Linked DNA regions of Sus scrofa. The protein of the gene in region 1 binds, or shares a complex with, the protein of each later gene. Links are inferred from orthologs where the notes say so. Each region holds a gene or a part of one and is shown on either strand. Other genes may lie near its edges.

What was found.
Region 2: CMC1 (region 1) and SMIM20 share a complex: the UniProt entries of both Homo sapiens proteins name them as parts of the MITRAC (mitochondrial translation regulation assembly intermediate of cytochrome c oxidase complex) complex. The link is inferred for Sus scrofa from reciprocal best matches to the Homo sapiens genes CMC1 and SMIM20.

Annotation. Positions count from the first base shown.
Region 1 is NC_010455.5:14,751,672-14,755,451, forward strand, and holds the end of CMC1 (COX assembly mitochondrial protein homolog), read left to right. Parts: intron 1-2,758; coding exon 2,759-2,879; 3' UTR 2,880-3,018; downstream 3,019-3,780. UniProt on the Homo sapiens protein: Component of the MITRAC (mitochondrial translation regulation assembly intermediate of cytochrome c oxidase complex) complex, that regulates cytochrome c oxidase assembly.
Region 2 is NC_010450.4:19,699,551-19,703,973, reverse strand, and holds the start of SMIM20 (small integral membrane protein 20), read right to left. Parts: upstream 2,933-4,423; 5' UTR 2,816-2,932; coding exon 2,707-2,815; intron 1-2,706.

The DNA.
Region 1 (3,780 bases):
AGAGAGAGAGAGAGGTGTTCTAGGTAAGAGCATAGTATTTAACTCATTACATGTAATATATTCTGTACTTCTTCCCCCACCAAATTCATCATACTGTTGCTAAGTCTAAAACTGTAATTTGTCAAAGATTGTTCTGAAAAAAAAAGGAAATCTCACATATTCACGAAGGGTCTTTTCAGGTTACACGTATTTTTCAGCATTTTATCTGATTAAAATTCTAGGTCTGGACTTCCCTGGTGGCTCAGTGGGTTAAGGATCCAGTGTTGTCACTGCTGTGGCTAAGGTCGCTATTATGGTGCGGGTTTGGTGCCTGGCCTGGGAACCTGTGTGTGCCACAAGCACGGCCAAAACATAAAAGTGCTTCTTATATGTAAGGTTCACTGATGTTTTATTGAATGCAGGTGCTCTCTGCTCATCTCCTCACTCATTGTATTACCCACGTTGTTGGCATTGCAGAGTGTGGTCCTTCAGCGAGTAGTTAGTTGGTAGTCGTCAGCGAGGCCTCACGTTTGGACGGCCCTTCCTTCGTTCCGTGTTCTCCTCCCCTGGCCTGGGAACCATCTATATCAGGATGTTTTGACACTTGTTAGGCAGTTAGGTAAAAAGAAAGTTGTAACTATCTGAATCTTATATTTGTTTTCTTTTTTGATGAGGAATAATGTACATGTTAAGTTTACAGACAATTTTAGAATACTGGCTTGGAAGACCTTAGAGATTATTTAAACTAGTCCCCGCATTTATACATGAGGAAACATATTCTAAGTCCACATATCTTTTCTCCAGTGAATAAGAGATTAAAAGCAATTCTAACAGCTGCTCTTTTTTATGAGCCCGGACCTGCACTAAGCACTTAACTGGAGAAGTAAGAGTTTTGATCCCTGGAGCTTCCAAGAGATGTTTGTTGACTAGAAGCTATTCAGCTGGTGCCAGTCATCATCATCAGCTATGCCTCTTGGTTGGGGTGGGCAGCCCTGGGGCAAAGGGCCCAGGAATGTGGCCAGGAGGGCGGCCAGGCTCGTGTCCTCTGGGTCCCCCAGAGCACAGCACCGCCTCCGTGACATTTGCTGCAGGATACCTGGAGGCCCCCATATGCACACATCGCCCCAGCACAGGGTGCCCAGTAAATGTTAGCTCTGTTTTTCAGTTTGTATTTGTTATTTATTGACTGCTGTTATCTGCATCATAATCATTTGAATGTCCTTCCTTCTCTTGCCCCACGAAGATAGGAAGGTAAAAATGATAGGTTCTGGCCCATCCTGGGAGATGGCTGGGAACACAGAGGGGAGGCCTCCACTTAGGTGGAAGCAGGCAAGGCAACAGGCCATGACTGACATTTGCTGAAATTGAACGGAGGGCTGTTCCCAGAGAATGTGTTATTTGACCTTCATTCTCAACATATGCTAAGAGATGCTCTGCTGTATTTACTGTTGCCGTCCCATGGACGCGCTCCTACCCTCTCATCTCTTCAGTGACCTCTTGAAACACTGATGGTTTGTGTTCTCTTATGTCCCCCGTCTCATCCTCATTTGTTCCTCAGTAAACTGCAGTCTGACTTCTGCCCTCACCCGGTGTAAGCTGCTCTTCCTAAAGCTTCTAGTAGGTATCCTCCCATCCTTTCTAAACTCGACCTCTCTGGAAACCCCTAAGATGCTCTTCGACCTGGCTTCCCTCATTACCCTCTTTTCTCTTCCCTCAGCATCTCTGTCTTTCTCTTCTGGACCTTTTCTTCCTCTCCTCTTCCTTCATGTCGGTTTGCCAGATCTTCTCCTCATTGTCAAATATGACAAAGGTCAGTTTACATCCACGGAATCCAGCTCCTTCCTGTCAATCGTGGATTCATTTCTTGGCTCTCTTCTTCAGGCCCCATACTGGACTTGGCCCTTTGACTCTTGCATCCTGTGTCTTTGTCAATTTCACTCGTCTAGAATCCAGAATCTTCCTGGGCTCCTAATTGTTCATTTCATCTCCTGAGTTACCCCCCAGAGCGATTTCACCCTTCTCATCAGGATGTGCCTCCCTGTGCTCAGGCCCTCTTTGCATCTTGTCTGGGTTAAGGTCCTGGTTTATTTATTGGACACTGCTCTCACCTTGCTGGCCTTTTGCCACAAGTTGTCAGACTTATTCAAGACACAGAATTGATCTCACAGCTGTCATATTAATAGTGCCCATTCGGGTAGATCTGACTTATTAGAGGGGCATGAATGGATCATCATGACCGGGCCTCTGCCATTCTGGCTTCACCTCAGCCCCTTCTTCTGTTGAGAAACTGCTATGCTGGTACTAGTGTACATATAGCTCTTCGCCCGTCAGTGTTTCCTCATCTGTGGGCTTTTCCACATGTGCCTTCTATGTGCATTTTTGTTGGTCCTTCAGAATGTGGTTCAAATATCCCTGGACAGTGTCCTTCTCCTGCTGCTCCCTTGTTTCCATGGTGCGCTGGGCCACGCCTCTGTCTCCCACCCACATGCATCACTGTGACACAGGCCTTGTCTTCTGACATCTTGGACTCCTGAGGACGGTGCCGAGCTTCCTGTTTCTCTCTCCTGGCTATCCAGAAAAAAAAACCTATTAGGTCTTTTTTTTTTTTTTTTCTCCCTTTAATTTGGTAGCTGAATGTTTACAACAAATTTGACCATTATTAAAAATCTGCTACTAAAGATTGTGTCTGATGAACTGGATGTCTGAATGTATTGTGAAAGGGAGCTTATATTATATGCTTGCAAAGTAATTCACTTTAAAAGTTTTTTCTTTCTTATAGCTATAATGATCCAGCCTTTTATGAAGAATGCAAAATGGAATATCTGAAGGAAAGGGAAGAATTCAGAAAAACTGGGATTCCTACCAAGAAAAGACTACAGAAGCTTCCCACAAGCATGTAGGCGAAGTCAAATGATACTCAGGAACCCTAATATCCATGGAAATCACAGTCACCTGAAATAACGGACTTAAGGAAGTGTTTGCTTTACCCTTAATTACGGAAATAATTTTATCTGAAATAAAGTTCTTGCAAACTTCAAAGTTAAGTTTATTAAATAGGATAGGAGTAAGTAGTAAAATGGGATGTGGTCTGCTTGGTCATTATGGATTTTCCATTAACTTTTGCACAACTGTGGTTCTGTAACAGTGACAGCTGATTTCTTAAGTTTCCACATGACTCTTACCTTACTCTCCTCATGTGGCCAGCATTTACTAAAGCAAAGCAGGAATGGACAGCCTTCAGAGGTGTAGTAACTTGGCAGTATAGCATAATGGTTATGAACCTACCATTTATTAGTTAAGCAACTGTGGATATGTCTCATAGTTACCATGAGTATTAACCAAGTACTGCAGGTAAGTAGAGTAGGTAGGACAGTGCCTTGCACATGGTAAGTGCTCTTTGTAGTTATTATCAGTAGTAGTATGAGTATAGTATTTTTAATGGCCACATCTGCAGCATGTGGAAGTTCCTGGACTAGGGGTTGAATCAGAACTGCAGCTGAGGCCTATGCCACAGCCGCAGCAACACCAGATCCGAGCTGCATTTTTGACCTACAGCACCTTAACCCACTGAGCAAGGCCAGGGATCAAACCCACATCCTCAGGGAGAGTCAGGTCCTTAACCTGCTGAGCCACAGCAGAAACTCCTTTATGGTTATCATTAGTAGTGAAGGCTTATTTGGAAACATAGATGAATTAGTTTTACTTATGTCTTTAATGGAAATTTTCCTAAAATGGATTATTATATTCCTGGAGTTCCTGTCGTGGCTCAGTGGAAATGAACCTAACTAGTATCCATGAGGA
Region 2 (4,423 bases), on another chromosome or scaffold:
CCTGGTGCCCTGGTAAAGCGATTAAGGGCCCTGGTTCAAATCCCATGTCTGGGACTCATCGGCTGTGGGTCCTTATGCAGGTTATCTGTTCCATACCTCAGTCTGTGCACATATAAAATGGGGATGATGGGAGTTCCCATCGTGGCGCAGTGGTTAACGAATCCGACTAGGAACCAGGAGGTTGTGGGTTCGATCCCTGGCCTCGCTCAGTGGGTTAAGGATCCAGCGTTGCTGTGAGCTGTGGTGTAGGTCGCAGACACGGCTCGGATCCTGCGTTGCTATGGCACCGGTGTAGGCCGGCAGTTATAGCTCTGATCAGACCCCTAGCCTGGGAACCTCCATATGCTGCGGGCGCGGCCCTAAAAGGACAAAAGACCAAAAAAAATTAAAAAAAGAAAGAAAAGACAAAAAATAAAATAGTTTAGAGTAGAGTAGAATAGAATAGAATTAAAAAATAAAACAGGGAGCTAGTCACACAGCAGCTACCACAAAGGGTTGTTATGAAAACCAAATGGGTTAATATATATCAAGTGCTTGCAAGAGAGCTTTCAATAAATATTAGCTATTTAGTATTATTTACTTTTTTAAGGAATCAGTTATGACTCTCAGATAAGAGTTGTTCAAATCAATTAAAATTGAACCAGAAAAGCAGGCAGCTGTAGAATGCCTTACAGTTAAAAATGCAGATACTGGAGCCACATGCACTAAATGTTCACTTTAAAGGCCTCATTTGTCTATCTCAAGGTGACTCAGGCAACCATAGACTCTGGACTACTCCCCATCCCGCCTTTTTTTTTTTAGGGCTGCACCTGCCAGATATGGAAATTCTCAGGCTGGGGTCGAACTGGAGCTGCAGCTGCCAGCCTACAGCACAGCCACAGCAAGTGCCAGATCTGAGCTGCACCTGCGACCTATGCTGTATCTTGTGGCAATGCTGGATCCTTAATCCACTGAGCAAGGCTAGGGATCAAACCCTCATTCTCATGGATATTAGGTTCTTAAACAGCTGAGCCACAATGGGAACTCCCTGGACTATTCCTTTAAGACTGTCATTGGGAGACACAGCACAAACCCACCTTGATCATCTGCCCTAGAGCAAGGGTTTCTCAACCCAGCACCACTGGCACCACTCGCATCTTGGGCTGGGTAATTCTTTGTTAAGGGGTGGGGGCTGCCCTGTGCATTACAGAGAGTTTAGCAGCACCCTGGCCTCTATACACTAGATGCCAGGAGCACACTTACTCCACCCACCCCACCCATTTTGTGACCAGCAAAAACGTCTCCCGATAGAACTAAATGTCCCCTGGGGGACAAAAATCATCCCCAGTTGAGAGGTACGGCTCTAGTCTTCAGAACTGAAACTTTTCAAGTAGGATCCAAAGTAGATTCCCTTGTCCCAGCTTCAACTCTAGGGGCTATAATACAATAGCCCGGGGCAAGGACCAAGTAAGAAGGGATAAAACAGAGAGATAACGCAGGGCTTCCAAGGTCCCATGTTTACCCCCACGCGTGGTCACGCGTGGTCACGCGTGGTCACGCGTGGTCACGCGTGGTCACGTAGATAGATAGGCTGGAAGGCAGGGTGCAGAGGCCATTTCAATCTTGACTGATGAAAAGAAGCTACAAGAAATTTGAGTGTGTACTTAAACCGCTCTGCCTCAGAAACCAGATGTTGTAGCATTTGTAATGGTCAGAGCATTTATACAGCACTTTTGCCTTCAAATCACCAAGCTCACAGCCTCCACTGATATTCTCAAGGGGCAAGGTTGGCCCTTTTCCATCTTCTAGATGATTCAGGTTTCCTGGAGAACAAAATGAGCCTCTAATGCCTAATATTTTCTCTCTGACAGATGGTTTCAGATGTATCAAAGTGCTAATCCTTGCTGAGGTATAGGTCTCAAGGAAGGGGAGTGTGGCTTTTAGAATGATAGGACTGGAATGATTAAGGAAGAAAATTACTCCCAGGATATTCACCATTGTCATGTGAGTAACCAGCTTAAAATGAAGGAAGATAGCAGAATCTGAAGGAAGATTTGAGGAGAAAGAAGAGGAAAAACCCAAAACCTCAGGTTAACAGTTTAGCTCTGAGACATTTCTGATCAAAGACATCTTTGGGAGCGGAAATGAAGTGCAATAAACACATCTGCAAGTTCAGGACAATTAGGGCCCACCTCCCTCCCCCAATATCACCTTCCCAGCTTCAGTACAAGGAAGAAATTCTGGAGACAGAGGCCTGGGTTGGAATACGTGTCTTGCCGCTAACAGCTGTGTGACTTTGGGCATGTTACACAACCTGAGTCTCAGTTTCCCCGTCTGTAAGACAGCAACATGTACCTCAAAAAAAGGTGTAAATTAAAAGATCCTATGTGCATTAACGAGACATAGAAGCCTGCAGTGAATGTTAGCTATGAATATTAACTCGTATTTAGTGTTGACCTACGACGTGCAGACTGCCTTTGAGTCTCAGCAGAGGCTAGACGGTTTTATTTTAAGATACTACAGAAACACATAACTACTGATGAAGATAGTGAGGGCCCAAGAGGTGGAGTCACTTGTCCACGGTCACAAAGCTGCACACAAAGGATTCGAACCCAGGTCTCCCTGACTCGCGAGCCAAGCTCTGCCCAAGGCCCCACGTGGAGAGGATGGGGAAAGAGAGGGAGTCACTGGGACCAGGGCACCGCGTGGTGGTCAGAGGTCACTCACGGTACTCCTCCAGCCGCATTAGGGGCCGGAAGTAGATGGGGTAGAAGGCGGCGCCGATCAGGGTGATGAAGCCACCAAAAATGAGCGCGGTGCGCAGATTCGTGGACATGGCTCTGAACCGGGCCTTCGCTGACCCGCTGAGGACACCGAGCTCTCGCAATCCTGGCTCCTGCCCGCTGGGTCGTGACCCGGCTGGGAAGTGGAGAAACGGCTTTTGCTTCCGGGCCTTGTGGGCGGGGCTAGGAGGCGGAACAGGGGCGGGAAGAGGTTGGGTCAAGGGTGGCACCGAAGGCGGGGCTTAGGACTGGGTGGGGCTAGGGCAGGGGGTGGGGCTGGGGCGGGGGTGGGACTAGGGGAGGAAGGGGCGAGGCGTGTAACCCCACGCACCGCCTCCGGGCGGTGCCTGGCAGCGCCTGGCTGCCTGGCTCCGGAGGGCGAGCGCCAGCTGGGAGAATGGAGAGTGGAGCTTTTATTGCTCTTGATCTCAGTTCCGCCCCCTGCCCTAAACCGGGTTCACCTCTCAGCCGCTCCACCCACACTCTTCTGACCTCGTTACCACTCCCTCCTTTACCAACCAAACTTCCTTCTTCCACCACTGGTTTGATTTTCATGACTCCACCAAGAGGTGGATGCTCTCTAGGGCTCATTGATTTAATCCACATATCTTTTACAGATGAGGAAATCCTGTCTTGGCTGCATGATTTAAACAAGTTGCTTGGCCTTAAGGGCGGTTTGAGGGGATTAGAGACAAATGCAAATCGCCTGACCCTGGATGGCCAGCAGGGGCTTCTGAACCAAGGCTAGCTTGGGAGGAATATTATTGCAACATCCAAACTACAAGTAAATCTTTTCTGACTCTGATCTTCCATGCTCTCCTCTCTCCCTCTTCCCTTTGTTGGATGTCAGGATTACGAATGAGGATGGGGAATAGAGATCCGTGCAGGGCAGGGAGCCAGCAGCCAGTTCTACTAATGGGACCTTGGGGCTCTGCCTTGTTGCCTGGGGTGGAAGCCACTGAGGACAGATCTGCTTCCTCTTCCTGTGATTGCCATCCTTCATGTTTCTGGGGGGGGGCTGTGTCAGTATATGACCCACCCAGCGGTACTGGACAGCTGAGACTAAGATTCCCTGGGCTTTCACTCAATCGTTTTTAAATAAGAATGATACCAGCAGCTGGGGGCTGGGGAACAAATCTTGACCCCAGCATCATTATTTAGTGCAGAAAAGATTTACGATCTTTCGGAAATGGTGTGGAGGTCACAGGTTTCCTCTTTTCTTTGTAGTTTTGTAGTTGAGTCAAGCTACTATGTACCTCTGTGGTTCCAGAAGCATATAAATCAGGTATTCAATCTGTCAGCAGATTTATGGACTGTCCGCTGTGCCCCAAACATCAGGCAAAGTGCCACGGGGGACACAAAGATGAATAAGACATGACCCTTGCTCTCCAGGATCCTGTCATGTGGATGGAGGGACAGGACATATACATAAAAAGACAGCTAATGACCCGACACAGCCTGTTGCTGATGAGTGATGGAGTCTTGGGGGCTGCAGAAGTTCAGAGGAGGAAGACAGATGACTGTAGGTGAGATAACTGCTCCTCGGGTGCTTACAGGAGCTTGTTAGGGTGAGGATAGAAGACTTTATAGCAAAGAGGGAAGCTGCGATGCCTGCTTTATATCATGTGATGTAAAAACTCAGGTATACTGCACATTTGTCA